Rhinolophus ferrumequinum: one gene and its partners. The protein of the gene in region 4 interacts with the protein of the main gene of each other region in a pairwise test. Links are inferred from orthologs where the notes say so. Each region holds a gene or a part of one and is shown on either strand. Other genes may lie near its edges.

What was found.
Region 1: the proteins of CREB3L1 (region 4) and TSPO interact in binary tests that used the Homo sapiens proteins (3 or more experiments, as listed by UniProt). The two-hybrid records come from large-scale screens. The link is inferred for Rhinolophus ferrumequinum from reciprocal best matches to the Homo sapiens genes CREB3L1 and TSPO.
Region 2: the proteins of CREB3L1 (region 4) and SLC35B4 interact in binary tests that used the Homo sapiens proteins (3 or more experiments, as listed by UniProt). The two-hybrid records come from large-scale screens. The link is inferred for Rhinolophus ferrumequinum from reciprocal best matches to the Homo sapiens genes CREB3L1 and SLC35B4.
Region 3: the proteins of CREB3L1 (region 4) and FXYD6 interact in binary tests that used the Homo sapiens proteins (3 or more experiments, as listed by UniProt). The two-hybrid records come from large-scale screens. The link is inferred for Rhinolophus ferrumequinum from reciprocal best matches to the Homo sapiens genes CREB3L1 and FXYD6.

The regions. Positions count from the first base shown.
Region 1 is NC_046293.1:5,301,387-5,308,662, forward strand, and holds the start of TSPO (translocator protein), read right to left. Parts: upstream 3,009-7,276; 5' UTR 2,879-3,008; intron 1-2,878. UniProt on the Homo sapiens protein: Can bind protoporphyrin IX and may play a role in the transport of porphyrins and heme. Promotes the transport of cholesterol across mitochondrial membranes and may play a role in lipid metabolism, but its precise physiological role is controversial.
Region 2 is NC_046309.1:13,181,747-13,189,492, reverse strand, and holds the start of SLC35B4 (UDP-xylose and UDP-N-acetylglucosamine transporter), read right to left. Parts: upstream 3,010-7,746; 5' UTR 2,190-3,009; coding exon 2,113-2,189; intron 1-2,112. UniProt on the Homo sapiens protein: Antiporter that transports nucleotide sugars across the endoplasmic reticulum (ER) membrane in exchange for another nucleotide sugar.
Region 3 is NC_046294.1:87,201,295-87,208,995, reverse strand, and holds the start of FXYD6 (FXYD domain-containing ion transport regulator 6), read left to right. Parts: upstream 1-4,696; 5' UTR 4,697-4,697; coding exon 4,698-4,716; intron 4,717-6,523; coding exon 6,524-6,586; intron 6,587-7,241; coding exon 7,242-7,280; intron 7,281-7,372; coding exon 7,373-7,447; intron 7,448-7,701. UniProt on the Homo sapiens protein: Associates with and regulates the activity of the sodium/potassium-transporting ATPase (NKA) which catalyzes the hydrolysis of ATP coupled with the exchange of Na(+) and K(+) ions across the plasma membrane.
Region 4 is NC_046294.1:14,648,424-14,655,956, forward strand, and holds the start of CREB3L1 (cyclic AMP-responsive element-binding protein 3-like protein 1), read right to left. Parts: upstream 3,002-7,533; 5' UTR 2,552-3,001; coding exon 2,450-2,551; intron 1-2,449.

The DNA of each region.
Region 1 (7,276 bases), on a different chromosome or scaffold from region 4:
AACTTTGGCTTGCCTCCAATTTGCTTGGTGACCCCAGGCCAACGCTCCTCTTGGGGCCTCAGTTTCCCCATCAGGTGGTTATAACCTGCCCTGCCTGCTTCATGGGGCCATGAGGAGGCTCCAGTGAGGACCAGATGAGCAAGAGGCTCTGGGTGTGAGTTGTGGGGGCCACTCACCCCATTTCCTCCAGGGAAAGAAGCGGCCCAGTGGCACAGATCCCAAGCTGAGGAAATGTCAAAGGTCAACCGGGCACTGAATGGGTGAAGATGTTCGCAGAAGGCCCTGCCCTCAAGACCGGGGGCCACTCACAGAGCAAAGTAGAGGGCTCAGGGCCTGGGGTCAGGAGAAGGTTCTAGGGATCCAGGGAATGAGCCAGGGGGTGCTGAGTGCAGGGCCTGCTGCAGGCCAGGCTTGGCAGCCTAATGGTCCTTACTTCACTTATTCTTCACAGCGGCCGCAGGGGAGGGGATCAGCTGCTTCTCTCTCCGGGCGCTGAGTCGCGTGGCCTCTTGGCCGCCCCAGTAGACTTGGTACTATTCCCACTGTCCAGATGAGGAAACTGAAGCACTGGGAGTCACAGAACTTTCCAGGTCTGTGTAGCTCTGAAGCCCACAAGACCACCCCTGCCCTCTGAGGAGGGGGTCTGCCGGCCTCAGATCTGGGCCACATAGCCACTCACCAGGGCTGTGTCACCTCCCCTCTCTCAGCCAACTTCTCATCCCAACATGGCACTTAGAGCCTGCCCCAGAAGTTTGCAGGGCGGAGGGCGGGCTTGGGCCACAGGCTGCTCCCACCCCGCCCTGGCCTTTCCACCCTCTGTCCAGTGCCAGAAGGTTCTCTCAGGGCCCACAGCCTCACTCTTTCAAGCCCCAGGACCAATGTTCCAGCCCCTACAGGGCAGCAGTGCAGTTAAAGGATCTGAGCCCTCCCTGTGGGGGGGGGGGAAAGGAAGAGGGGGCAGGGGGGTAGGACCTCCCAACCTAGTGATGCTGCTTCACTCCTGGCCTTAGGGCCTCACCTCCCTGCCTCTGTGTCCCCATCTGTTCAAGTGGGGCTGAGCCATGGGTCTCTGGGGGATCCTTCAGTTCTCTGAGGCCTCCCTACGGGTGACCCTCCATATAGAAGGTGACAAAATTGCTGCCCAGAAACAGCACAAAGGGTTTTGCCCTTCTCTGCTCCCTCCCGTCCCAGCTGTACCCAGTCCTTCAGGCCTTATCTCTGGAAGCCTGTTTGTTTTCTTTACCGACTCACAGCAATTCTTCATCATAACCTTTGTGAAACTTCTTTACTATGCAAGTGTCCAATGTAACAGACAACAGGTCTGGAAGGATCCACATCCAGTGGGTCACCCGGGAGGTCGGGCTGGGGTGGGGCTGGGGTGACAAGGCGGAATCTGCTTTATCAAGCATGACCTTTTTAAAGGGAGAGCACATCCAGGCATTGCTTGCACAATCAAAAGTAAGTAAAATAAAAGGCAAATAAAAGAAATTTAGATTCAAAAATAAAATAATGAAAAAGCAAAAATGTACATAGTAAAAAGTGGCTCCCTCCCTGTCAGCCCAGGCCCTGCCCCCGCAGCCGCCCACTGTGAGGCTTTGGGATCAGACCCCACTCATTCAAACCCTGGACAATGGTTCCTGGATGAGGCCGTTTCCCCCAGTTCAAAGGGCTCCCCTGGGGGCCCCGGACTACCTATGAGGTTTCCTCTGGGAGCCTTCGGGGGACTGAGGAAGAGGCCTGCTACCCTCCACCCTCCTCAGTGCCTTTCATGGCCAGTGACAAGTGCCGTTGCCCCCAGGGAGCTGCGGCCTGCCTCCTGCTGCCCTGCGGGGGCCACACTCCACCCCACAGAGACACCCGGCCCTTCGCCCAGCGTGCCAGGAGCCCAGGGCAGGTGCTTCCTGCACACTGCCTTCTCCGACATCCTCTCCTTACCCAAGACCCAACGAACAGCCTCAGTCCCTTATCTCTGAGCTCAAGTTCTGCTCCTCCTGCTGTCATCCTAGAGCAGCTGGTACCAGGTACCACCATACCTTGGCAGGCCAGCCAGAGAGGCTCCCAGCCAATAACAGGCCCCGGGCATCTGCCAGGCTGACCCCAGCACTCAGCAGTGTGTACACTGGAAGCCCCTTCCACCTGGGATCTCGGATCCTTTGCAGGAGAGGCAGGGGACAGACAGGTCCCACACCAGGCTCCTGTCCAGGCTACAGCTCACCTGAGCACTGACTGGCCCGGGAAGCAGGGACGCGGCTCTAAAGCCCGTGAGGGCCGGACCTGACTTTGGGCAAATAACCTCCCCAATCTGGCCTGAGTTTCCTCCCCTAGAAATGAGGTGTTTCAAGTGGATCAGGAGACCGAGGTCTCCCGGGCATTTTAGGATCCCAGCTCGGCCACTCCCGCCCTCCCCTGCCTCGGCTCGCCTCTAAGCAGGAATGGGCAGGAGAGGGGGGTGTCGGCCCCACCCCCGCCCGGGCGGCGCGGCTTCCCGCCGGGCCCAGCAGCGGAGCCAGGAGGGACAGGGCGGAGGTGGGGCGGGGCGGAGCGGGGCTGCCCAAGTCCCCGCCCTCCCACTCCCACCCCTACCCCCCACCCCCGCCTCCGCCTCCGCCTGCGGTCTCTCCCTGCGGCGGGAATCCGGCCGCGCAGGGACCCGGACCTGGGAGGTCTGGACCCGGGCCGCCCGCCGCCCCCTTCGGCTGACCCGGCAGCCTAGTGCAGCCTCGCGGCCGCCCTTCGGGTCCCCGCCCCGCGGCTCCGGCCTGCCACCTCCGGCCTCAGTTTCCCCTCGGGCCCTGCGCCAGCGGGCAGGCACTGTTGGCGGTTCTACCCGGGCGGAGGCCCTTGTTCGCTGCCTCCTTGGTGCCCCGTCCCCACTCACCAGCAAAGAGGACTCACTCCGGGAAGGGCTCTGCGCGGCGGGAGGTGGCAGCCGAAGTCCCAGGCCCACCCCGCCCCGCCCCGGCAGCAAAGCCCCGCCCGGCCGCCGCCCAGGCCACGGCCCCGCCCGCTTGGCTGGAAGCCCGGGCCGCGCTTGCCCGCGGGACTGGGAGTTCACTTCGCTCCTTCACGCCTCCAGCGAGACACGCTTCTGCCTTCCCCGCGCGAGCCCCTCTCTCCCTCCGCCACTAATCCCCACCGTGACCTTCGCGCTCAGGGCAGACCCGCGCCGCGTTCCAGCTGTGTCCGCAGGCAGGTTGCTTCTCGAGCTTCACTTTTCCCATCTGTAAAATGGGTCAACAGAGAGCGCGCTCAGAGAGAGGAATTACATGATGGCAAAGCCCTGAACATCATCAGACACAACAGCCTGCCCCGCCCCCATCTCCAGAAGAGCACCCTAGTTCCTTTAGCTGTTGCCCCACGGCACCGAGGCAGCACTGCACTCTTTGCCCTGGTTCTGCCACTCTGTGGCTGGTTCTTCCGTCTCCATCTCCTCATCTATAAAATGGGCACATCATCGTGGGACTAATTAGGATGCTCCACGGTAATACAGGCAGAGCATGGCGCTCAGTGAGTGGAGGCTGCAATGATCACAGCCAGAGGTGCCTCATGGGACCCGCGTGTCCAGCCGCAGGCCATAAGCTCCTCCCCCTCCTTATCTATTTGCTGCTTTATTACTGCAGCCCAGGGCCTGTCCCGGCCGTCTTCGGAGGACTTGATCTGGCAGGACCCTTAACCTACAGGAGCCATAATCGCCCAAACTGTCCTCTGGGGGCCAACGTGAACTGCAACTACTTTTCCCCAGGCACAGTGGTCTGGAGCCTCCAGGGCTGTCCCCTGTCCCTAGGCCCTGGCATTTTTGCCTCCATGGGCCCCGTCTACATTTAACCGCATTGGTATAAGGACAAGTATAATCCAGGCTGGTTTCTAGCCATCTTTTTCTTCTGATTTTAAAAGAAATTAAAACATTTTCCCAGGTCCCTCAAAATATGGTGGCCCCAGGTACTGCGCCTCTGTTCCTAATGCAAGCAGTCTGGCCACGCCTCCCCAGAGCTGCCAGCCCTCATCTTCTTCCTGTAGGGAGGTGCCGGTGGCTTTGGCTGAGTGGTACACTTGACTCCCCCGGAAGACACGTGGGAAAGAAGCAACTCAGCTTCCATCCGGCCTCATCCCTACTGCACAGGACTCCAGGCCCCGGGGGCACCCTGGGAGGCAGAAATTGCTGTCCCCAAATACTTGCTATATGCCAGGGCCAAAGGGAGGGGCTGAATACAAACACACAAGGCTCTGCCCTCCTGAAGTTCACACCATTCACAGGCAAGACGCTGCCGGAGACCCTGCTGCTCAGAGGGGGAGTTGGTACCCTAGGGACTCAACCCACAGGTCTGGGTGCAGATGAGGGTGCCCATCCCTCTCTACCTGCACACCTCCCATGACTTCCGCCTCCCTCCTCTCCAACCATCTCCCCCACCTGAGCCTGGGCAGCAGTGATTGACCTTCTGCTGGCCCCCAGCTCCCCACTTGTCCCTTCCATGCCTTTGCTCTGCTCAGGACCGTCCATTGCTTCCACTGCCTTAGGATCCAGTCCAAGCCTTGTACCTGGCACTTGAGGCCCTGCCAAGCTGGGGTCAAGCCGACTACCCCACCCTTTCTCCACCTCTGTGCCTTTTCACACACTGTTCCCCCTTCCTAGAGCACCCTTCACTCCCATCCTGGGCATCTCCATGTGTCAAAGTCTTACTGCTCTCCAGTGTCATCCCAGGAAGCTCTTCCATAACCCCAACTCTGTGTCTCCCCCACTGTAAGTGGACAGTGACCTCTGAACTCCACGGCACTAAGTATGGGAGCCTCTCGGGCATTTGGCATGTACCAACCTCGAGGAACATATATATATTGCGTACGTGGGGGCCCAGCTCTGGTCTGAATCCTGGAGAATACAACTCAAGCAAACCCAGCCCCTAGCCTCAGTCCATCAGCGGGGAGACAGGGAAAACACCCTCCCACTCCCCAGATTGACACCACTTCACATGCTCAGAGAGGTGAAAGGGCAGCGCACTGGCTGGAGAGAGTGGGCTTGAAGGCCAGACCAGGTAAAACTGAACTGAGCCTCCGGGGTACACACTGACCTCAGCCTCGCTGAGCATTGACAAGGAGAGCTCTTGCTGGGGCAGTCGGAGGAGGGCAGGGTTGAGGGGGAGACATGTCTGGCAGGGCTGTTTCAGGGGCATTGGGCAGGAAATGGTCCGAGGCGTGAGTTGTTCTGTCTTCTTGCTTCTGAGCTCAGACCATCTTGCATCTGTGTTCAGATCTCAGGAGTGGGGGGACACTTCTGTGAGGTGGAACCAGTGTCCTCAGCAGCAGGCAATGGAGGGGAGAACAGGACCTCCTCAGCCTGCGATCAAGACCGGCCAAGTGTGGACAAGAATCTGGACGGGCTCACCAGGGATTCGGTTCTTACACAGGCAGCACAGTGACAGCCGGCATCTTGGGGATGACAGCCCGCAGTACATCCCTGGTACATCCACTGCTCCCAGCTGGGCTGGCTACTTGTACGCCTGTGCACACATCATCCTGGCTCCCTCTTCAACACTACCCAGGGGATGCCCTTTACGCTTCTGCTGGCTAAATCATTTCCTGGATGACACCTCTACGCCTTTCTTGGTCCTCCCGTGTTTGTGGTGAGCCCATCCTCCAGGAGTTCTTGAGAAAGATTGCACAGGACGTATCATTTTGAAATCTTACATTCTCCCCCATGGTTGATTGATGCTTGGCTGAGTGGGAATTCAAAGTTGCAGACATTTGTCCCTCGGCGTCACGAAGACATGGTCTTCCAGCTGCCACCGTGCTGATGAGCAGGCTGAAGCTATTCTGTGTTTTGAGCTTTTTTGTATGTAACCTATTTTGTTCTTCCTGGAAGATTTTAAGATGTCTGTCCCCAGAGTCCTGAAATTTCACACTGATATTCCTTCAAGGGGGTCTAATTTCATCCATCGTGCCAGCACGCAGGAGCCCTTCCATGCAGGAAACTCATATCCTTCATTTTCCAAAAATTAAAATTTTTTTTTATGATTTCCTTTCCTCCATGTTCTCACTTCTCTTTCTGGAAACCCTATTACTCAGAATCCTGGACCTCCTGGGCTGGTTTTCTAATTTCCTTTTCTCTCCTTCTCATGTTCCTTTTCTCTCCTCCTCCTCATGTTTTGCCTTTTTGCTTTACCTTCTGTGAGGTTTCCACAACTTTCTCTACCTAGCCTTCTATTGGGTTTTTCAATTCTGCTATCCTATTTTTTCATTTCCAGGGGTTATTTTTCATATATATATATATATATATATATATATATATATATATATATATATATGGTATATACGTACGGATATAACTTCCTGTTCCTTTTTCATGGATTGCAGTGTCTTCTCTTTTCAACTATCAGAGTTAGTTTTCTATAGTCTCTGAATCCTATGCGGTTTTGTTTGTTTGTGTATTTGTTTCTGCTTGTAGGAGGCTATTGGAGAATCTTTGGCTGGCTGGTCATGATTAGAAGAAAGGAAGAAAATAAGTCTGTGGGTGGTATTGTTGGTGTAGCTTCACTGTAAGTTGAACTTGATGGGCCATTTGGGAACTTCCTGGACTGTCAACATCTTTAGGATTTTCCTCTTGGACTAGTCAGATTCCACAAGGTCCTCTAGCCGCTTACCTGAAGACTAGGGGCCAGGCTCGAGTTTTCTGGGAGCTCAGTAGGGGAGAGCCCTGGAGGAAGTCTCTGCATTCAGCATTCAGTGTCCGCATGTTTGGCAGCATACCCACATTCACCGCTGTCCCTAGTCTGTTCAGCCCTTTCCAAAGCTAAACCCGGGAAAGGGCATCACCCAGAAGCTAGAGAAAGGGAGGAGGTCTAAGGATCTAACTGGTCCTCAAAGGCACCTTGAACTAGTTCTCTTTATTTCAGCTCTCTTGCACCCTTAGATCTAGAAGCAGCTAATGTGCCACTTGCTAAGCTTTTGAGGATTCTGTTGTATGAATGAGGGTTGGTCCCCAGCTTTCCCCAATGCTGGGAGGGATCTGGCTGTCTGGGGTCTGCCAGGCAGGTAATACCGGTCTACCTGCTTTCCAGCTTCCAGAGGTTCTGTTGCTGGGTCCCCCTTTCCTGTTCTCCCTGTCCTGGTGGATTTATGTCTTTAAAATACCCCTTTACTGTGGATTAAAGGACTTCTGGAGGCAGTGTGCTCCATTCATGTCTTAACCTGAAACTCGCCTCCGTACCTTTTATGACCACAGCACTGTATAGATTTGTCATAATTCATTTAACTAATCTCCTCTAGTTGGACAGGCAGTTTATTT
Region 2 (7,746 bases), on a different chromosome or scaffold from region 4:
ACCCATTGCTGTGAGCAAAACTCCACATTTACAAAAAAGATAAATGAGTGATGATTTATTTACAAAATACTCAAAGTGTTCTAAATAGATGTTCCCACAATGCAGGAAAACATTCTGTAAAGTTAGATATATCTACCACTTCCCAGGAACAAATTCATAAAACACGTATACCTGTATTGAAACAAAATGGTTAGAGAGGAGAGGAAGCCGACTAGAGTGTGCTTCAGGCTTTGCACATGAATCTCATTTATTCCTTCAAAATCATGTAATGCTGGCAAAGCCATCGCCCTCCCCTTTCACCGTTAAGAAAACAGACTAGGGAAGATCAAGAAATTTAGCCAAGAGCTCATAACTATTCAAGAGTCCCTTCAGTTGCTAGCGTAACTGACGTCATATACCTCTGGCAAGATTGAACGTAATGGCATATTCAACACAAATATTACACTATTACTCTCTGACCTTCACTTCCATGGCTGGCCTGTTTTTATCCCTTTTTTTTATCTTTTAAAATCAATTGTCAAAGTAACCTTCCTTTGAAATGTACCAGCAGGATACACTTCTTTTCTCCTTTTCATACCCCTCACCACCTACTCTCAAGAATAACAAATGACAGATCTTTATTAATACTTTCCGCATAAAAAAAATTCCAAGCTCTGTAACTGCAAAAATTAACCCCACACAGAGTTTACCCTAAATAAACTGGTTGCTTCAGAACAACTTAATGAAGGGTATCATGAAAATAAAATACATTTCTAGTAGGCACCACGAGGAATGGGGTGACCAAAACCTAGAGGCCACTCAAGTTCAAAATTAACAGGGAGGCTGAAAAAGGTATTGGACTAGGAGTTTACATGTCTGTCTCTGCCACTTGCAAGTAGTAAAAGATCATCTAACTTCTTGGGACCTCTTTCATTTTCAGCAAAACAGAGATTATAACTCTTGATCTATCTTGTCCATAAGATGGTCATGGAGACAAAATGTAGATTCAGAACCTTGGCAATAGACAGCACCATAGAAAGATAGATTTTACAGCAGTAAAAAGGAGGCCAGAGAGGCTAAATGACTTTAAAACGTCACACAGTGGGGGTGGGACAGAGCCAAGAGTGAAATTCATAATTTTGAGATTTTTAGTCCACCTGTTGTCTTTCCCGCAACAGTTTCTACCCACTGAACTTTGCACTTTATTACTCAACATTATTTGGTTGCCATCTCAATGAAATTAACCTGGTCTCCCTTTGGTAAACTTTCCTAGCCATTCTTCCTCCTTCCTTTTTTTTTTTTTTTTTTTTTTTGAGATAACACTGGTTTATTGGTTTATAGCATTATATAAGTTTCGGGTGTGCAACATTAGAATTTAACATCTGTGCATAATATATCGTGCTCACCACCTGAAGTCTAGCTTCCATTCTTCACCCCGTTGACCCGTTTTGCCCTACTTCCATCGCCCCAATTATTAATTTATAAAGTCACACCTTAAAATACACGCTTTTCAGTTTAAAGACTAGTATCTTAAAGCTGGCAATGCTCTCTCTGGTCAATGAGATCGACCTTTCGCATAAATAATCCGTTCTATTACATCACTAGGAGTCATGTTTGGCCAAAGTACTCGTAACCATCTAAGAGTAATAAACGCTTTGCGGGCCGCTTGAATACACATGAAACTTTCTTTGCCGCGTGTACAAAATCAGACTGACTTATAAATCAAAAAGCTTTGTGACGTTATGAATGGGACAGAGAAAAGAGCTGGAGGAACCTTGGCTTCTGTCAAGAGATCCCTGCCGGCCTAGGACCCATCACGTGAGAAATTCTCCCGGATCAATACCCCCAGTGTGTGAAAAACGAGTGACGACAGCAACACCCCGTGTCCCCCTCCGAGGGATGCTGTGCAACCATTGGGCGGGATAGGAAACGCTGCGCAGGATGAAGAAGTAGCGGGCTCAGCAGGGTCCCAGGCAGCCCGCCCAGAGCGGACCCAGCCCAGGCCGTGCATTCCCGGCCTCGGCGCTCCGCGGCTCGGGGCTCGGCCCGGGGGGCGGCGCGCGTTAACGCCTGTCCTCCGCCTTTCTCCGTGCAGTGCGGGGAACACGGCTGCGGCCTGCGGGAGTCACTCACCTGGCCAGGAGCTCCAGGAAGATCACGTTACTGCAGCAACCTGCGAAAACCAGGCCCACCGCAAAGATCGGGCGCATGGCCAGTGCAAGGGACGGGGAGCGAGCGTGCAGAGGAAACGCCGCCTATATCGCTATCCCAGGAAGCAGGACCGCTGCCTCGGCCACCGCAAAGAACATCGCCACCGTCCCAGGGCGCTGCTCTTCTCCGGGGCCGCCGTGGTCTCCGGCCGAGGAGCTGTAGTTCGCAGTCGGCCTCGGCCCCATTCATCCGAGGGGGCGTCCTAGTCGGGGTCAAACTACATATCCCAGGATGCCGCGCGCCCTTACGTCAGGCTGGGACGTGTCCCTCTTCGGCTGAGCAGCTCCACTAGAGAGGAGGGACAGGGTGCCCGTCATGTGTCGCACGATGGAAGCCGCGGGGCTTGCTGGGAAGTGAAGTTCTAACGCTGTCAATGTTGTTTCTGACGAAGCCAAGGCTTCAGAGAGGGATTCGTCCATCAGTGTCTGAACAAACTCGCAGCTGGCGGCACTAGGGCTACAGGCCTGTGATTGATCGTTGGAGGCGTTCTAGCATCTCAAACAATTCTCTCGAATTGAGTGAAAGTAGAAATTCCTCTGAACTGAACTTTTCTCCCGCTTGAAAAGTACATTGGACTCCGGAAGTTCTGGAATTGAATCTCTGCTCAGCTACCAATCAGTTCTGCTATCTCAAGCAACTTCTTTGAGCCTCAGTCTCATCATTGGTAAAGATGGGAATAGTAACGCTATGATCACAATGGGATCTAATTAAAATGTGGATTCTGGTTCACTACACCTGCGGTTTGCCCCGAGATTCTGCATTTCGAACAAGTTCCCAGGTGCTGCTGATGGCCCACGTTTTGAGGAGCAGATGCCTATAAAACAATTGACCCTGGACACTTCTCCTCCACCCCTCCCATTGGCTCCTGTCATCCATTTTTTCCCCCTCCTCCTTTCCCCTTAGCCTACAATCATGCTCAAACTGATTTATTCTTCTCCTTCACTTTACCACCAAGTATCTTTAAAGAGTAGTCTAAATTCACAGTCCCTGCTTTTTACTTTGATCAAAGCGAGATTTTTGAAAATAGTCTCAGTTAGAGTCCTACTGACCTCTTAATTGTCAAAACCATATATAGCAGGTCTTCCAATAACATCCTTTTGTGAACTTAATTCTTGCTTGTATCAATTCGCCTATGGCAAAATTGGTTTCGTTACACACCATTTCACTTAAAGTCGCAGTTTCCAAGAACTCATCAATGACAGTGAGAACTTACTGTACCCACAGTCTCATCTGACCTGATCTTGCAGTGGCTTTTGACAATGAAAGCTCCATTCTCCTAACATTTTCTTGTCCCTCTGATTATAAGACATGAGTCTCCTGTTTCTCTTTCTGCTTCTCTGACTTGCCTTTTTCAGTCTCCTCTGCCCACTGAATCCCCGTCCAAAGTTCCATCATTTGTCCCCTCCTTTTATTGCCCTGAACACTCTGTATTGGTGATTTCATCTCCATAACTTCAACCATCACTATATCTAACTGTGATCCTACATATTCATATATGTGCAGCCCCAGTCTCGCTTGGGTCTTAAAGTTTCCAAGGGCTCGGTTGACATCTTCACCAATCTGATGCCTGAGCAGAGGACCTTTCTGCTCACAAAAGCTTTCTGTGTAGCTTTCTAATGCCCCATTCGTGGCTCCCTCCTCTGTATCTCCAGCACTCCATTCCTACCTAAACTATTCCAGGACTCCTGTTGCATCGTAGTGATCTGTTTTCATGTCACTCCCCCCCAGTAGTAGACTGTGCCTCTTTGTAGACAGGAACCAAGAATAAGTAATTCATCTCTAGATCCTTAGCATCATAGACAGTGACTGGTATGTAATATGTACATACAGTTTTTGTTGAATAAATGTGCTTGACTTCATTGTTTGAGGAAAATATTTCACACCTCATAAATTCAATAAATATGTAATATTTTTCAGCTTGACTAATTTAAAAATGTAAACATCAAAAAGGCGCTGCTCAATGAATTTGCATAAACAGTATATAGAACCAGTACCCTAGCCAGGAAACAGCACTACCAGCTCCCAGAAACCCCCTGCACCCCCTTTCTATCACCAATCCCCTCCAGGAATAACCGCTTTTCTTACTTTCTAGCACCAGAGGTTAGTTTTGCTGTTTGGGGACTTTACACAGATGGAATCAGAATATTTTATTTGTTTGTTTCTGCTTCTTTCACTCAACATTATGTTTGTCAGTTCCTCTGTGTTGTTGCATGTATTTATATAGTTAATTTATTCTCATCACTGTATAGCTTCCCTTGTAGGAATATACCACGATTTATTTGTCTCTTCTCCAGGTGATGGAGAGTTTAGCTATTATGAACAGCGCCACCTACTATGAAATGTCTAGTACATAGCTTTTGGTGAACATAAATGCATATTTCTGTTGGATAGCAGCATATTAATCAAGGTCCAGTCAGAAAACAAAAACCACCCAGTGATTTGAACACGCAAAGTTTAACGTAAAGAACCATTAACTACTAACAGAGGATGAGTTTCTATGAGGGGTTGAATCCCAAGATGATAGGAAGAGCAGATTATACAAGGAGTAGCTACTGCCTAGGACTGAGACAGACTACCCAAGGAAGGAACAAATTTGGGAGAGGGCCTTCTTCCCCCAAGTTGAGATTCGGGCCTTATTGATGAAGGTTTGGCTGTAGCCCTCTGGCTCGCAGAGAAGTTCACTGAGTGCTGCTAAAACTCACTATGAGCTACACGCTGACTGGCCAATTCACCAGGAAGCTGCTGGTGGGGGTACTGTACTCTCAGGAAGATGCCTGGGGCTCCGGCAGAACTTTCTAATAACCACTAACCACCTGTACGTACTGCTGAACTCATTGAGGTGAGCCACAGGATGTCCCTCCCAGGTGCTGCAGGAACAGGAAGAGAGGAAAACACACCAGAACCAGAACGAGAAGCCACCTGGTCCTCTAAGGCTCATGCAGCATCCTCCGTGACTAACCTCAGCAGCGTGCCACCTGGCAGAAGAGAAATGTCCCCAGGCTCCTGCTCCAGCATCACAAACGACCATGAAAGGTGATTTTGGAGCTGAAAGGCTGTAAATTGACAACTGGGACACCCCATTTTTTTAGGGGTTATTTCTACTTCAACATTTTAACTGTTTCATCATAAAATCAAAGTCATGAAGTGCAGGCCTGGCTTCATCTCCCAGACTTTTTTCTTCTTGTTCCTTCTCCTGAGTTCAAACTTCTAGCACCTTTGAATGAATAGCATCTTTTTAGACAGCAGCTGGCTGGGCTCCCCCTGTTTAAACCTTCCCGTGATCCTCTCCCCTGGTGAGGAAGGACCTATCGCTCTGGGAGTGTTCATCCTCTTTGACATGCCCCAGTGTTGTCAGCAGGAAAAGCTGTCAAGGTTGTTTTAAAAACCCTTTTTGCTTCTCGTTCCAGACACTCAGACATATTTTGAATCATTTATAAAATCCACTTAACCAAGTTGTTGACGAAAAATTAAATAAGATGACTCCTGTGGGATCCTGCTCGACAAGTGTCCTCAAGTTGACAATCCTACAGAGATTTGTCACTTGGGTTTTTTAAAACCTTGTTTTCCATATCTATCACATGAAGATGATTTTCTCCTCTCTGTATCACATAAATTTCGAGATGCTTAGAGCTGTGCACAGGAAAGGTACCCTATGAATATATTTAAGGTATTATACATAAAGCAAAAATATTTTTGTTGCTTATATCATAGGTCAGACTCAAGCAACACCCCAGTGTATTGATAGATTTATATAATCTAACTTCTTCAAGGGTATTATTCATTTTCTTTTTCAGAGTACTAGAGTTAAGGCACATAGAGTTTTGGCTAGAAAGGAAACTTTCTCATCCAGAGTGATAATGATACAAGGTCAAGGATTTTATCTTCCTAGCCATAGTATCTTCCATATCTAGATGGCATCTGGCTCATAGCGAATGCTCAGTACGTAATGGTTGGAAGGTAGGAAGGAAGAAATGGAGGGACAGAGGGTCAGACACGGGTTGAAGAGGTAGGGGTAGGGAAGGAGGAAGAAAGACCTTTAGAAAAGCCAGCTCCTTTTCAAGGGACTCTTGTACACAAAATAGGAGAGGGGTTGAAAATGGTACCTGCCGTGGGAGAAGGTACTAAGTAGAACAAGCACCTAAAGAAACAATTTTTAGTGCTGAGGCTGTGGGTGAGCTCCCTAATGACAGGAACCGCCTCTACTTGCTCTACGTGCCTCACGGTTCCCCCTTCGTTGCTGCTGAGTTGATGTTTGTTAAATTGTATGATTGAGTTGAGCTGGCAAATCTAACTAAGACACTGTCATATCACCTTTCAGGAAAAAAAAAAAAAGATGTCAGAGAACCAAGTTTTCCACATCAATGTGACATGTCTCAAAGTTATTTACTGAAGTTCAACCCACCCTCAATAACTTAATATTTTTAAGGAGAAAAACAAATCCATGGGATCATTTAATTTCAGATTTTTTACACTGGTTCTGTCACCTTTTCCCTGTCTCAGGTAGTAAGTGTATGTGAAGATGTTACTAACCCATATACTGAAACACGCTTTGATCTGTTGCGGGAGGTAACTGTTTCAGTTTGTAAATGCTCCCACACGTAGCTCGTGTACCCCTCCAACAATTATATGCGGTAGATAGGAGTTATTATTCCTCGGAGAAAATCTGAGGGTCAAAAAGGTTAAGTGTATTTCCTAAGTGTCAAAAATTTGAATGCATATGGGGCCAGGCAGGGAAAGGAAATGTATGGAACTGATTTTTAAGAGAAATGCATGAAACTTGCTGCAAAACATTTGAGTTTTGTTGGGGAAATGGAAAGTGTAAGCTCTATTTGGATGCATTCAAAATCACATTTAAAAATGTTTATTTTTAATTGTGGTGACATACATCTAACATAAAATTTACCAGCACAACCAGTTGAAGCGTATAGTTCAGTGGTGTTAAGTACACTTACATTGTTGTGCAACCATCACCACCATCTATCCCCAGGACCCTTTACATTTTGCAAAATGGAAACTCTGTACTGATTAAATAATCACTCACCTTTCCTCCTCGCCTCAGCCCCTGTCAACCACCATTCTAGTTTCTGCTTCTACGAATTTGACTATTCTAGATATCACATATAAGTAAATCGTACAGTATCTGTCTTTTTGTGACTGGTTTTTTCACTTAGCACAGTGTTCTCAGGGTTCATTCATGTTGTAGAATGTGTCAGAATTTCCTCCCTTTTTAAGGGTGAATAATATGCCATAGATACCACATTTTGTTTATCCATTTATTCACCCTTCAATGGACACTTGGGTTGCTTCCACCCTTTGGCTCTTGTAAATGATATGCTATGAATAGGGGTGTACAAATATCTCTTTGAGACCTTGCTTTCAATTCTTTTGGGGTATATATCCAGAATTGCTATTGGTAGAACCCAAGGTAATTCTGTTTAATTTTTTGAGGAATCGTCATACTATTTTCCACAGCAGCCACTTTATATTTTTACCAACCATGCACAAGGGTTCCCTTTTCTCTATATCCTCACGAACACTTGTTTTTTTATTTTTTGT
Region 3 (7,701 bases), about 73 Mb from region 4:
AAGAAATAGAAATCTTAAGTGTCATAGCCATTAATTAATTGAATAGGCAATTTAAAATCCTCCCACAAGAAAATACTGAACCCAGATGATTTTACAGGTTCTGCCAAACATTCAATGAACAAATTAACCTAATCTTTTGCAAACTGTTCCAGAGAACAGCAAGAAAGAAAATACCTTGTTCTGTGAGGCCAGTACTACCATGATACCAAAACCAGGCAAAATGAATACAATAAAATAAAACTCGCAGTCCAATCTCACTTATCCACATGGATGCAAAAATCCTAAACAAAATATCAGCAAACTAAATCCATGAGCTTATTAAAAAGGTAATACATTGGCTGTATCCCAGAAGTGCAAGGATGATTTAACATTAGATAATCCATACATATAATTTACTCATTGATAGATTAAAAGAGGAAAACCATAGATATAGAATACTCATTCATAATATAAAACAGAAACATCTCAGAGGAGGACTTAAATCAGTAATTTCATTTTTTTGGCTGAATAATAATATTCCATTGTATGAGGTGCGATAAAAAATACGGTGAATGTTTAAATTAAAAAAAAGTTTATTAATAAAAGACACATTGCCATTAGTCCCCTTCAAAATAACCCCCCTCACTTCGAACACACTTATCCCATCTTTCTTGCCACTTTCTGAAGCAGTTCTGGAAGTTCTCTCGTGAGTGTTTTTAGTTCCGCTGTTGTGGCTGCCTCGATATCCGAATCGATTCAAAACGCTTACCTTTCATAGTCATTTTGACTTCTGGGAAGAGGCAGAAGTCTCATGGTGCCAGATCAGGTGAGTAAGGTGGATGAGGACACCTTACCAGAAGCCATACCAGAAGCAATGTGCGACGGCGAGCCTTTCCATTATGATCACAAAATATAGTGATTGCTGCCACCAAGTGCTATCCAAAGGAAAGGCCAGGATCTTCAATACTGGAAGTGGTGTGTTGAACCTTACTAACAGTGTGTGACAAGTTTCAACTTGTTCGGTAAAGTCAGGTGGGTGTGAGCTACGGTTGAGAGAAGGTGTGTTTTAAAGTGTGCCGTAAATCATCCTCCATCATGATAACACTCTGTGTCACACATCGCTTCTGATATACGGCAATTTCTGTCAAATAAAAACATTATGGTGTGTCCTCATCCACCTTATTCACCGTATCTGGCATTGTGTGACTTCTGGCTCTTCCCCAAAATGACTCAGGACATCGAGGCAGCCACAAGAGTGCAACTAAAGACACTCACCAAAGAGGACTTACAGAACTGCTTCAGAAAGTGGCAAGAATGATGGGATAAGTATGTTCGAAGTGAGGGGGAGTATTTTGAGAAGTATTAATGGCAATGTGTCTTTTACTGTAATAATTTTTTTTATTTAAACACTCACCATATTTGATCACATCTCATATACTGGGGGTGCCAAAAAAACACATACACATGACTTGTATTCATCTTTTGTTATCAGTATATATTAAGTATTACAATTTTAATACAGTTTTTTCCTTTCTTAAAATGTGTATACATTTTTTCGGTATATATAATAATAAAGACAATGTGATATATGTGTATACTTGTATACACACATATATAATATATGACATTTTCTTTATTCATTCTCATCACACATACACAAAAGGAAATTATGTGTGGTGATGGAGGTATTAACTAACCTTATTGTGGTGATCATTGCAGCATACATGCATGTATCAAATTACATTGTATACCTTAAACTTACACAATGTTATATGTCATATCTCATGAAGCTGGAAAAAAATAAAAAACACAGAATAAAATAAAATCAATAGACAATATATGAGAGAGAGAGAGAGTCCATGATCACTGCTTTTATTCTACATTTCACTGGAAGAACTAGCAGTGACTAAGAATAAGGTAAATAGAAATAAGCAGTGTAAGAACTGGAAAAGAAGAAACAATACTGTATCGTTTACAAATGTTATGTCTACAGGGAACATACAAAGGAATCTAAAGGTAAAATATTAGAAATAATAAGAGAATTTAACAAGATTATTGGATTTAATATCAAATTTACAAATCAGTTGCTTTTCTCTATACCAGCAAGAAATTGAAAACATACACAAGACGTAGCATTTAAAATAGCAATTAAAATTATGAGGGACCCAGGAATAAATAATAGAAGATATGCAAGACCTATATGAAAGCACTTATAAAACTTTATTAAAGGACATTGAAAAGGACCTAAACAAGTGAAAAGACAGATAGGAGACTCAAGGTCAGAAAAAAATATCAGTTTTTCCCAATTGTTCTATAGATAGATTCATTGATTCATTGTAATTCCAATGAAAATCCCAACAGCTTTAGATGAATTTGACAAGCTGATTCTAAAGTGTATACATAAGAGCAAAAGATCAAGAATAATGAAGGCATTCCTGAAGGAAGAGGTAGAAGGAGAAACAGGAGAGGGAAGCTTCTCTACCACATGGAAAGACTACTATAAAGCTGTAGTAACAGAAACGCTGTGATTTTGATGCAAGTATAAATTGACCAGGAGATCCAAAGAGAAGCCCAGAAACAGACCCACACCAGATATATGACACAGGTGGCATTGCACATCATGAGGAAGGGGGGAGGAGAAGGGTCCACAAGTGGTGCTAGGATAACTGGTTATCAGTATGGAGAAAAGTAAAAATTAGATACCCACCTCACACCTTACACAAACATCGATTCTGGATGGAATAAAGATTTAAGTGTAAAAGACAAAACTACAATTTTTAGAAGAAAATTCTTTCTGACTGCGTGACACAAAAATAATTGCATTTAATTACATTAGAATTAAGAAATTCTTCTGTTCATTGAAAGACAATTTTAAAAAGTGAAAAGATAAGTTACTAATTGGGATGAGATATTTGCAATACTTCATGACAAAGATTTAGTATTCAGAATAAGAAATAAATAATGACAACCTATTTGAAAAATGAGCAAAAGACAGGAAAGGAACATCACTAGTGAAGAAACAGGAATAAACAGAAAGAAGTCAAACTCCATTACTAAAATCAAAGTAAGACCACATTTTATACCTCTAGATTGGCAGAAATTAAGCAGTCTGACAATATCAGGTATCGCTAAGTATGTAGAGTGATAAGAACATTCATATGCAGCTGGTGGGTTATTTAAATGGGGATGACCACTTTGGAAAACAATTCGAAATTATTTTGTAAAGTGGACAATTTTCATACTATGTAATCCAACGACTTCACTCTGAGGCCTATCTCTAGAACATAATTTTTCAAACTGCCACGTGTGACCTGTTAATGGATCTAGCCTTTTTTTTAAAAAAGGACACAGTAGGATAGAAAATATCAGAAGGCATCATTTATTTTAAGATAAAGTATTGTTTTTGTGATATTGTTGTTTCTGGTATACATACATATAAATTTGTACTGGGTTTCAATGTAAAAAGTGTTTCTTAATGAAAGTGGTGGTCAAAAGATTTGAAAAAACATTGCCTTTGGAACTCTTACATATGTGCTTTGGGCAACATGCACAAAAATGTTCACAGCTGTATTATTTACAATAGCACAAAATTGAAAAAAGTCATATCCACTGATAGGAGAAGGGACCAATGCATGATAATTTCCTGGCATAGTAGAATATTACACAGCATTGAAAATGAATAAATTATGGTTACAGGTAATAATATGAATGAATCTTAGAAACATAATATTGAACAAAAAAAGCCAGTCCTAGAAGACTGTAAAAGACATGGTATCATAATTGTAAAGCTCAAAAAATCTCCACTAAACAGTATCTTATTTAGATATGTTTTAGAAAAGTGCAGGATGCACATTCATACAATGGAATCTTACTCAGCCATAAAAAGAAATGAAGTACTACATGCTACAACATGGATGAAGCTTGAAAACATAATGCTAAGTGAAAGAAATCAGATGCGATAGGCCACTTATTTTATTGATGTATTTTTTATATGAAATGTCCAGAATAGGCAAATCAATAGAGACAGAAAGTAAGTTAGTGGTTGTCAGAAGTTGTGGGAAAGGGAGAATGGGAGTGACTGATACTGGCTACAGGGTTTCTTTTTGGGATGATGAAAATGTTCTGGAATTGATAGTTGCACAATTTTGTGAATATACTAAAAGCCATTGAATTGTACACTTTCAAATGGTGAATTTCATGATGTGTGATTATTTCCTAATTTAAAACCTTTTTTGAAGAGGAGTAAGGCAACGATTAAAAATATATATGTTCAGGGCCGACCTGGCGACTCGGGCAGTTGGAGCTCCGTGCTCCTAACTCTGGTTCGATTCCCACATGGGCCAGTGGGCTCTCAACCACAAGGTTGCCGGTTGGACTCCTCAAGTCCCTCAAGGGATGGTGGGCTGCGCCCCCTGCAACTGGCAGCTGCGACTGGACCTGGAGCTGAGCTGCGCCCTCCACAACTAAGACTGAAAGGACAACAACTTGAAGCTGAACAGCACCCTCCACACCTAACATTGAAAGGATAACAACTTGACTTGGAAAAAAGTCCTAGAAGTACACACTGTTCCCCAATAAAGCCCTGTTCCCCTTCCCCAATAAAATCTTTTTTAAAAGTGTATATATATATATATATATATATACATATATATATATATATATATATATATATATATATATTCAGGAAACTATTTACCTCTGGGAGTGAAGCAGGGTGGATGGATCGGAGGAAGATAGGTAAGTACAGCTGTATTTGTAAAGTTCTGGTTCTTAAGTTACTTGCGTATGGGTGTTTATCTTATTACTATGCATTATTATATGTGTGTTATATATATTTTCACACATATAAAATATAACGTAAAATTTAAAAACTACAACTATTAAAGGAGTTAGCATTAAAAGCAAAGTAGTGTTTGGGGTAGCCGGATGGCTCAGTTGGTTAGAGCGCGAGCTCTGAACAACAGGGTTGCTGGTTTGATTCCCGCCTGGGCCAGTGAGCTCCACCCTCCACAACTAGATTGAAGGCTATGAACTGTTGCTGAGCTTCCGGAGGGGCGGCCAGATGGCTCAGTTGGTTAGAGCGTGAGCTTTCAACAATAAGGTTGCCGGTTCAAATGGTGGGCTGTGCCCCCTGCAACTAAAGATTGAAAAAAAACGGCAACTGGATATGGAGCTGAGCAGCACCCTCCACAACTAGATTGAAGGATGACGACTTGGAGCTGATGGGCCCTGGAGAAACACACTGTTCCCAATATTCCCCAATTAAAAAATAAAATAAAATAAAAGCCAAGTAGTGCCTTTTGAATAACACTTGTTGGATCACCTGACTCCCAGGACTGTGCCTTAGCATAACTGGATGCAGCTGTTCTGACCTCTAGTGGCTGAGAGGAGAAGGGCAGCTGGGGGCTGCGGGCTGCCTCAGGAGAAAGGGACAGGGCGAGATCCCTCAGCACAGTTATGGTCCTGGCCGCTAGACGGATGTCCAGACGTTAGGCTGCTGCCAGTCTCACCCACTCAGAAAAGAGCAAACAGCCTCTGGCTTTCCTAGTTCGCGTTTCTTCCCCCTTTTTCTCTCTGGCTCTTTACCATACTCCTTTAAGTCCATGAATGAGGTGTATATAACTCCACTGAAATCTACCCGTGGGAGGGACCAAGTGGCCCTGCCTTCTGCCTTCATGCAAATGATCCATCCTCGGGTGACCGACCCCAGAGACCAGGGGTTTGATAAGCTCACAAGCAGAAGTCTCAGGCATCTTCTGGGGAAGGAGAGGCTGGAGCACTGACACTCAGAGAACTGGTCTCCATGCTCCCTTTGTTCAATGAAACTGCCTTTCTAGAAGATTATGAACTAAAGCCTATGGGAAAATTTGGCTTGGACACATTAGAGGTGAGAATGTGAGAGGTAACTTAGGGAGAGCTGTCAGCGTTTCAGGGTTTACCACACAGAGCCCAGGAAACAGCAGGTCTCCCACCCCTCCTGGCTGGCTGGACTAGAGGGGCATTGGTTTCCCTGACCCATTAAACCTGATAGAAGAAAGAACTTCCAACAGTGGGTCTTGGCTGTGGGGAACCAGGCCAGGAAGTCTCAGACATCTTAATGAACTAGAGATGGTCGCAGAAGGGTGGCCTGAAGAGGAGGTCACAGATGAGACCATCTCCAAAGCCATTGGGGCTTTTTGGCTTTGGCACCAGTGAGGCAGGTGGCTGAGGACTTACTGAACTGGGTTAGGATCTAGGCTCTGTTGCTCACTATCGTGAGTGTCATTTAACCTCTTTAAGCTCAGGTTCTTCACCTGTAAGAGGGGTTAGTCACAGTGCCTCCTCATTGTATTGGGTCAATTGTAGTAATTGAATTAATGCAAGCAGAGCATTCCGTAAGAGTCCGATAAATGTCAGCTACTTCTGCTTTGTTGTTCGAACTCTCACTGTGTGGAGAGCGCTCAGCATAGAGATGGGAACCCGACTGGGCTCTGCCTGGTCAGGCTGAGGGTCAGAGTGGGGATTCTCCTATCCAGAGACTTGTTTGTCCTCCCTCTGTCCCCAGACGCCATGGAGGTAGTGCTGATCTTTCTATGCAGCCTGTTGGCCCCTGCTGTCCTGGCCAGTGGTAAGTACGCCATAGGACCTGGCTCTGACAAGATGGCAGCTGTGGCCCTTCTGGTGGAAGGTCCTGGCCCACTGGGACTCTAGGGTTGGGGGGCTTTCAGATTCTACATGTCTGATCAGGGCCCCGCCCACCCCCCTGCTTTCTTTAGTCAGCAGAGGAAGTCCTGGAAGGTGACGGCTATTCACAGACCCTCATTCAGCCTGCCCACCTCTCCCCACGGACTCCAGCAGGGTCTACTTTTAAGCTTCAAATCCAACAGCCCCCTGTAGACTTTTGGCTGGAACTTTGGGAGCCAGACCTTGCACGTCAGTCTCTAGACTGACATTGTGCAAGTCACATGTCCTGCCTCAGTCTCAATTTCCCCATCTGCAACAAGAGGAAAATAGACCCTTCCTTTTGGGGACGACATGAATAAAAATGGCCCATAAATGTGGCTGTGCTGTGAATGCAGATTCTCACTAGGGCTCTGAGCTGGACCTGCCCTGAGCTCGCAGGCAGGGCCACCCTTCCATACTTCTGTAGGCACCTCTGTTCAATCGGCCCTGCTTCCCAGGAATCCCTTTGTGGGGAGGGAGGCCTGTGAGGCAAGTTGAGATATTTGGGAGCCAGGATGTATAGCTGTCCTCCTCTTGACCAGGCTTGTTTATTTTTGTAGCACCTGAGAAGGAGAAAGAAAAGGATCCTTTTCATTATGGTGAGTAGTGTGGCAGTCCTGGGTGGGGAGGGACAGGTACTCTCTCCCTGGCCCTTCCTCTTTTCCCATTTCTCACCCTATTCCTTTGGCAGACTACCAGACCCTGAGGATCGGGGGATTGGTGTTTGCTGTGGTCCTCTTCTCTGTCGGGATCCTCCTTATCCTGAGTAAGTTTTTTTGTTCATTTGTTCAGAAGAGCAATGTCTGCACTACAGAGCAGGTAGAGAACAGTGTAAGACGAGCCTGGCCATTCCCTTTCCTGGAGGAGGAAGGAGCCTGTCTCCTCCCTGTTATCTCCAGGACCTAACATACTGCTGAGCAAATAATAGGTGCTCAGTAAAACAGTGAAGAATGAACAAAATAAATGCTCAATGAAAATAAGCACTGATAAGAAGAAGGGGCGCACATGGCCCTTCTGGTG
Region 4 (7,533 bases):
AGGGTGAGCATACATTTTGATGCTTGCTTTTTGCATAGAGCCATAGAGCACATACTTTCCACACGACTTTATTGCCTTTATCTGGATTTTTAAGGATAGTGAATACCCTGCTCTCCATCTTCCATACTGAGAAGCACACAGACTCCATCCCTTCCCATCTTTAACCCTGGAAACGTTTTACTATCCTCATACAGAATGAAGAGGGAGTTGAAGGTGGAGTTGGCATCGGGTCCCAGCTGGAAGGGACCTTAGACATATAAATGGAGGCACCAGAGAAGGAAAGTGATTGGCTCAAAGTCACACAGCAACTCCTACCTGAGTAGTCCTTACCGCCACCCTATCTAGTGTCTGGAGCGAGTTAACTATGGACACTTACCTGCCAGGCATTGTCCTACATTAATCTTTCATTAATTTTGTCACTAAATCTCTACCATAACACTGTGGGAAAAGTTCTATAGCTCCATTTTTCAGATGAGGAAACCGAGACCCAGAGGAAGAAAAGTCACTTATCTGAACTGCCCAGCTGGCTGGTGGCAGAAGCGCAGCTAGAACCAGATTTCCTGATTCCCAGCCCAGGAGTTCATTCGCTCTCCTCTTAGGAATCCTTTCCTCTAGCCTGCCTCACCGGAGCAGGCCTAGGCCCCAGGTTAAGAGCTTCCCCAGCAGGGCTTTCCCTCCCAGTCCGGGTGCTGGATACCACTGTCTGATCATGCCTCCTTTCCTGTGCTGGACCACCGCCCAGATGAGCAGCTGGGGACTCGAGACTGAATGGAGCAGCAGGAAGAGGCTGTAGGCTGCAGAGTTCATTCAGAAGAAAGGCCAACTCAGAGCTGCTGAGGGCTGAGGAAACCTCACAGCGAGGCTTTACTACCCTCCTTGGCTGCAAGGGTACAAGCTCCAATAACCTCCTCCCTCTGATGAGTATCTATTATCAACTCCAAGAAGGTTGTGTGGAACCCCAGATCCCTGCTACTTTATTCCTAGGATCTGTGCCAGATCATTCTTAGAAAGACTTGATCCAATCTTTGCCCATTTTATAGACAAAGAAACTGAGGCCCAGGGAGGAGAGCTGGGTGGCGTGCCCCAGGCTCACAAAGGGAGGCAGAAGCAGAAGCAGGACTAGAACTCAGCTCTCCCCACAACCAGTTTAAGCCGTCTCTCCTCCTCCACTTGGCCTGTCTGCCGAAGAGTGCTCTCTCTGACTGGGAACAGGAGCCTTCTTCAGAGAGCAGGGTGACCCAGCCTAATGAAGGACAGGGAGACCTCACACCCATGCCTCCCAGACTGAGGTTCCTGCCCCTTGGCTGCTTTCTCCACCATCAACCAGTCTAGCAGGGGGAACAATTAGGTGGAAGTCCAAGATGCCCAATTTAAGTGTCTATGCACTTAACTCTTGTCTGGCCAAGTTTATCTTAGGCCAGTAAGTAGAGGCCAGCAGGTAGAGACCCCTGAGATGATCTGTGGATGTGCATGTGTGAGCATGTGTGTACATGTGAGACTGCTGGTTCACTGCATGGGTGGATCCCACCAGATTCCCTAAGCTGCCCACCTTTCAACTGGGAAGGCTTTTCTGAACCCAAATATTTTTCCCCAGTTACTGAGCCCATGCCCCTCCCCCAGCAGGGCCTTCAGGCTGAGGCTGAGAGAGGGAGGGAGGGAGGGAAGAAGAGAGAGAAGCCACGTTTCCTTAGGGAGGGAGGGGAAGAGAGAAAGAGAAGAAAGACAAGCCCAGAGACAGAGATAGTCACGGAGAGACAGAGAAAGTCAAGGAGACATGAGCGACAGAGAAACAGACCTAGAGACACATAGATGGGGAGAAAGACCTCTCTCCTCCTGAGGGATTGCCCAGTGCTGCTCTGACCAGCTGGGCGTCAGGTCCCTGCCTGGGGAGGTCTTGCTCCTGACTTTGGGGCAGCCTCGCCAGCACCCCTAAGTTTCCAGGTCTGCCTCAGAACCTGAGTCTGGCTCTGGCCCCCACATGGGGCGTCGGGTGTCTGGCCCTCTGAACACTCCGCTGTGCGCCTCCCAGCGGAGAACCAGCTGCGGGCCCACTTTGCGCCGAATCTGGTCTTGGAACCCCGGGAGGGGGCAGGATTGGTGTCTCTTGAGCTCATATCAGAGGATCGGATGGCCCCCGACGCCTCGAGGTCCCCTTCCCCGAGAAGGCGGAGGCCAATGCATCCACGGACGGACCCCCCCCCCCCCGGGGGGGCGCGCGCTGGCGCAAGCACAGAGGCTCCGGTCCAGGCTCTGGGACTAGGGAGGTGTCGAGGGATCTTAGTCATCAAATCTCAGAGCTCTAAGCACGTGTCCCTTCGGGGGACCCTGCACCGAACCCCCTCCTCCGCTTCTGCCCAGTGATGTATAGCTCCGTCCTTCAGGGGGGCCCAGGCAAGCTGCGAAGACCGGTGCCGAGGGGTGAAAGGGGGACGCAGACCCTTCATCTTACCGCATTGTTGAGGAAATCCGACTCGTTCAGATCCCCCAAGTCCAGGAAGCTGGATCCGGGGAACAGCCTGTCGGCGGGGAAGGGCTCCAAGACCGCGTCCATCGCGGCCGGCTCCGGAGACCCTCTTCGGCTGGGCTTCCCTTACTCCAGGGCGGCGGCGCGCCTGGCCCAGAGCTCCTGCTTGAGCTCTGGCAAGCGGGCGGGGGCAGGTCCGGGGCGAAGCCCCGAGGGAGGGGCGGGCGGAGGCGGCACAACCCCGGGTAGGGGGCGCCGGGGGCGTGAGGGCCTTAGGGCAGCGGCGCGGAGCGGGCTGGGCTCAGGGGCCCCGGGCGCACCGCGGGCATGTAGCCGATTCCTCCTCCTCCTGCTCTTCCGGGGGCACAGCTGGCTTCCATGGGGAGCCCGGGAGTGGGGCTGAGGGCTTGAGGAGCCCCCGGGACAGGGTGGGAGCCAGGGACGGGGGAGCTGAGAGCTCCCCCGAGACTGGGTGGCTACCAGGCGCTCCGCTCTCTCAGCGTCCCCTCTGCTCGGCTTCTGTCACTTTCCTCTGTGAAACCGGGAACCCCGGGCTGGTTAGCCCAGCTGGCCGAGGCGCCACGCCCCCACATCAATATTCACGATAATCTCATATTAATGAGAAGAGGGAGTGGCCTGAGAAATCGTCCCTCCTCTTTTAAAGAGGCCTCTTTTAAAGAGACAAGCTAGTCTTTGCCAATCTCTTTACTGACCGCTCAGTATAGGGGGTTAAAGCAAAACCGTCCCGGAGCGAATAACTGTTCCTGGAACCTCCGCATTTTGGTAAGGCTTTGCCAACCACTCTCCTGTAACTTCACGAGGGAACTGAGTTATTTCCATTTTTTCCTGCCTTATGCTAGAACCTGAACCAAATCCAAAGCCATGGAATTCTATCTCACAGGCCCCTCCAAAAAATCTCCTCAATGGGGAGATTTTCACACGTCTCCTCCACCAGGAAGCCTTCTTTGATCCCAAGGTTGAAGCAGTTACCACCACTGTATACTCACAGGACATTGTGTGCTTATATCATTTGGGGTGAATTTACTGTCTTTGTTTGCTCAATTGTCTATGACCCTAACTGGACTCAGGGCAAGGACTGTATCCACCTTTCCTGTGTGTGAAAGGGCCAAGTGAGCAGCAAAGATGAGGCTAGGACCCCTCTCCTCATCAATCATCAAGTCCCCCTAATCGTTCTGAAGAGCAAGAAGTTGGCGAACAGTGGCCATGGAGTTTGCCTGAGCCAAGATGCTGGTTGGTTGCATGCTCTGTGGTCATGGGACACTCCCAGACCCCCAGGATCCATTACCTAAGTGGCCCGTTCCATAGTACGTCTTAATCTCTTAAAAGGGCTGATAAACAATCACCAGGCACCTGAACAAATGGAGGTGGTTCAGAAAGACACTCCCTCAGAGGGCTGGGCACACTGTTTCCTGGTCAGAAGTCATTAACAGGATTAAGTGTGTCCTTGCTGCCTGGGGCTTTTAATTAGCTCAGGAACCAAAAGGCCTTTAAGAAGCAGAGATGTCATTGCAGTTAAGCTAGGGATGTCACTGAAATGGCTCTCGCAGTGCCAGGGTGGGAAAAGGGGACACATTGAGGCTAAGGGAGCAGCTGTTTGCTTGCCTGGGGCGGGTGGGCAGGCAGGCTTTTCTGCCCGCTTTTCTGCCATCTCATGACACGGTTGACATAGTTCTGGAGAATGAAGTTCTGACCCTCCAGGCTGTCACATAACTGTTAGCTTCCATGCCTCCTGGAGGGTTTGCTCCTGAGAAGCTGGCAATAGAGTCCATGCTCTGGGGACCAGTGCACCAGCAATACAACTCTGAAAAGTTAGGCTGGACCCAAAAGAAATCAATTCACTCTCAAAACAGTGGCAGGTAGAATTAGGATACTGAGACCATAGATGCTTCTCCCAAAAGTGTCACATCTGGTCAACCGGGGAACATTCAAACACTGGGAATGAGAATGATCCTTTTCAGGGTGGGGGAGTGGTCTTGGCTGAGTGAACAAGCCAGTCTGTGGTGGGTGAGCTTGTGCTAGCAGGTGTCTGGAGTCCTGGCTCCTGAGCTGGAGTCCCTGCAGGCCCCCAGGAGGAACAAAAGTGCCCGTCTGCCTGAGGTTGGCTAGAAATTGTGCCCATGTTCCTCCCAGCTTGCTCTGTAATTAGGGACACAGGCACCATTTAAGTGATTGGAGAAGATTATACAGTTTTAGATAAATAGGATTAGCGTGTCCTCTCTTTCCTGATTCTTACCCAGGTGAACACCCCAGGAAACTGTTGAAAATAATCCTGGGGAGACATTCTGGTTCCAGTACCTCCTGTGCAGTCTGAGACACAGGATCTTCCAAGAAAAGTCCTGAGGGTGAAGGGGTGGGAAGAGGAAGGAAAAAGAAATGGGCACTGCAGAACCTGGGACATAGTAGGAGCATGTTTCTCTGCGATGGCAAAGTCCTGCAAAGATGAGAATGGCAGAGGATTTATTCACATATTCTACAAGTGTTATTGAGCACCTATGAACACTGGAGACACAGTGATGATTAAGAAGTTATGTTTAGGGTGAATGAGGAGAGCCTGGGGGATAAAATGAAGAAGATGATTTCAGATAGTGATAAAGACGATGAAGGAAATAGAATGGTGAGAGATGGCTATGTGGATAAGGAAGGCCTCCCTGAAGATGGACCTGTGAGCTGAGAGCTGAATTATGAACTGGAACCATTGTGGGGTAAAATGGAAAGAAAAGCATTCCAGGCAGAGGGAACAGCAAGTAGAAGAGAAAGAAAGAAAGCCTGGGAGGGGCACGGGAGGAAGATGATGAATGTAAACCCCCAATGTCCTGCATAAACCCCCTACTTATGGTTATATTGAGGCTCAAGGCTTTGTTCTATTTAAGTACTGAAAAGAAGTGCATCAGTTCAAAGGCCTGCCTGAAGCCTTCTGTAGCAGCACATCCCTTCTGTATAGTCTCTTAAAGGTTTTTCAGGACAGGCAATTAGACAGCTGAAATTAGGTCTGAAATCACGGTTCTGACTCAACAGGGAGGGTCTGCTTTCTCCCTCAAGTCCTGGGCATGGTCCACAAGCCAGCCCCTCTCAGGCCCCTTCTCTGCCTCTGAAGGGTTGGGGAAGGAGGCCAAGACTGGTTCTGTAAACACCCCCAAACACTCCAGGTCAAGAAAAGCATAGACCGAGGCCCCTCCTGTTATGGGCTCGAGAACATCTGGTGGTTGCTCTCCAGCAGCTGCTCCAGCTGTGAAGCAAAATGCATAGACATCCCAACCCAGGCAGTGAAGCACAGGAGAGAAAGGATGGAGATAAGCTTCCTGCCTGTCCCAGACACTGAAGGGCAGGTAGAGAGAGAGGCTCCTGCCAGGCGGAGCTGTAAGAAGGGATGGCGTATGAGAGAGTATGTGTGCATGCATGTTCGTGCATGCGTGCATGTGTGAGTGTGTGTGTGTGTGTGTGTGTGTGGGTGGGTGGGTGTGTGTGTATGTGAGAGAGAGAGAGAATGGGGGGCTTGGCTGGGGACTGTCACACTTTGACACCCCTGGATAGTCTCTGCTCTTCTCTGGGTCTCAGTTTTCCCATCTATAAAATGGGAGAGGTTTTAATGACCCCTAGGATCCTGTTCTCTCCAAGTACCTTCCAGATGTTCCCTTACCAGGATACGGCCTGCAGGGAGTGGGGGATGGGGTCAGGACCTGCCTCCTCAGGAGGACTGGCACTCCCATTTTCTAGGCTCCCACCTGGAGCCTCCAGGAGGGAGCAAGGGTGGGTGTTTACACTCAGCAGGCCAGCCCCGGTGGTGGTAGTGAGAAGGTCACCCAAAGTAAACCTGCTTTGTTTGCCTGGCTTGTAAAGGGAAAAAGGCTTTGGTGCACTCTAACAGGAACTTCTGAGAAATGAAAACATATTCATCCTGGAGATTAGGCTGACTTCCGGGGCACAGATGGGAACTTTGTTCTTTTGTGGCTCCCCTAAAATGGGCTGCATGGCTGCTCTCCCTGTGCCCTAGGCTGGGGCTAGATACAGAGTCCCTGGGGTGACACCCTTTCAGGAGGGTGGGGGTGGGCTTCAGACCCCAGCTCTCACTCTTCTCCATCCCCTTGGTATGTGGTTCCTTCCCAGCTCCACCCTGAACCATAAAAATATCTGACCTTTATCGAGTACTTGCTTTGTGCTGGGCACGAAATACTTTATTTACATTATCTCCTTTAATTCTTAGAACAAGCTTGTAAGATAAGTAAGATAGTCACTGATTCTGAGATGCATATTTTAAAATCTCTGAAGTCAGAATATGTCTTATAATCAATGGTATGTTGTAGTTGAATGGACAGTGTTCTTTCCTTCTTAATGTACAAAAAATAATGGTGCATAATACAACTGATGACATTGTAGATTCAATGAAACACGATATTATTATTATTAGCCCCAACCTGCAGGTGAGAAAAGCAAGACTCAGAGAGTTTATATTCCTTTATTTCACGGGAAACCAAGGCCTGGGGCTACAAGAGGCTTGCCTTTGATTGCTTAGCTTCGATGGGACAAAGACAACACTGAAATCTGGGCCTCCGGGCTCCTCACCCAGGGCCTTTTCCACTCACCCCAGATGAACTGGGTTTGCTCACTAGGCAGAGGCAGTAGCAGAGGGGAGGGACCTTCCAGGACCTTCCTCAGCAGCTAGTGAATCACCAGCCACCTTGCCTTGGAGAAGGGCCTTAAAAATAGATATTTTCCCCTTTCCAAATTCTCTGAAGACTGAAGTTCCTTAAGGACTAGGAAAACACTTGCCTCCCTTCCAGCTCCTTTTCCTGGTAATTATTTTAGCTTCTCTTTCCCTGAATTTTTGCTCTACTGTCCCATCTTCAGACTGGAGGCAGGCCCACACCTTGGCCCTCTGTCTGCCTGCTGCCCGAGGAACAGCTCCACCCTCTTCCTGCTTTGCTCTCAGTCTTGCTCTGTATTCACCCTTCTCTCTACCTTACACCACCTGCACCAACACTGCTTCTAAAGACTCTATAACCCAGACCATGGGCTCCCACCCTGAAGACATACACTCAGGCATACAGCCC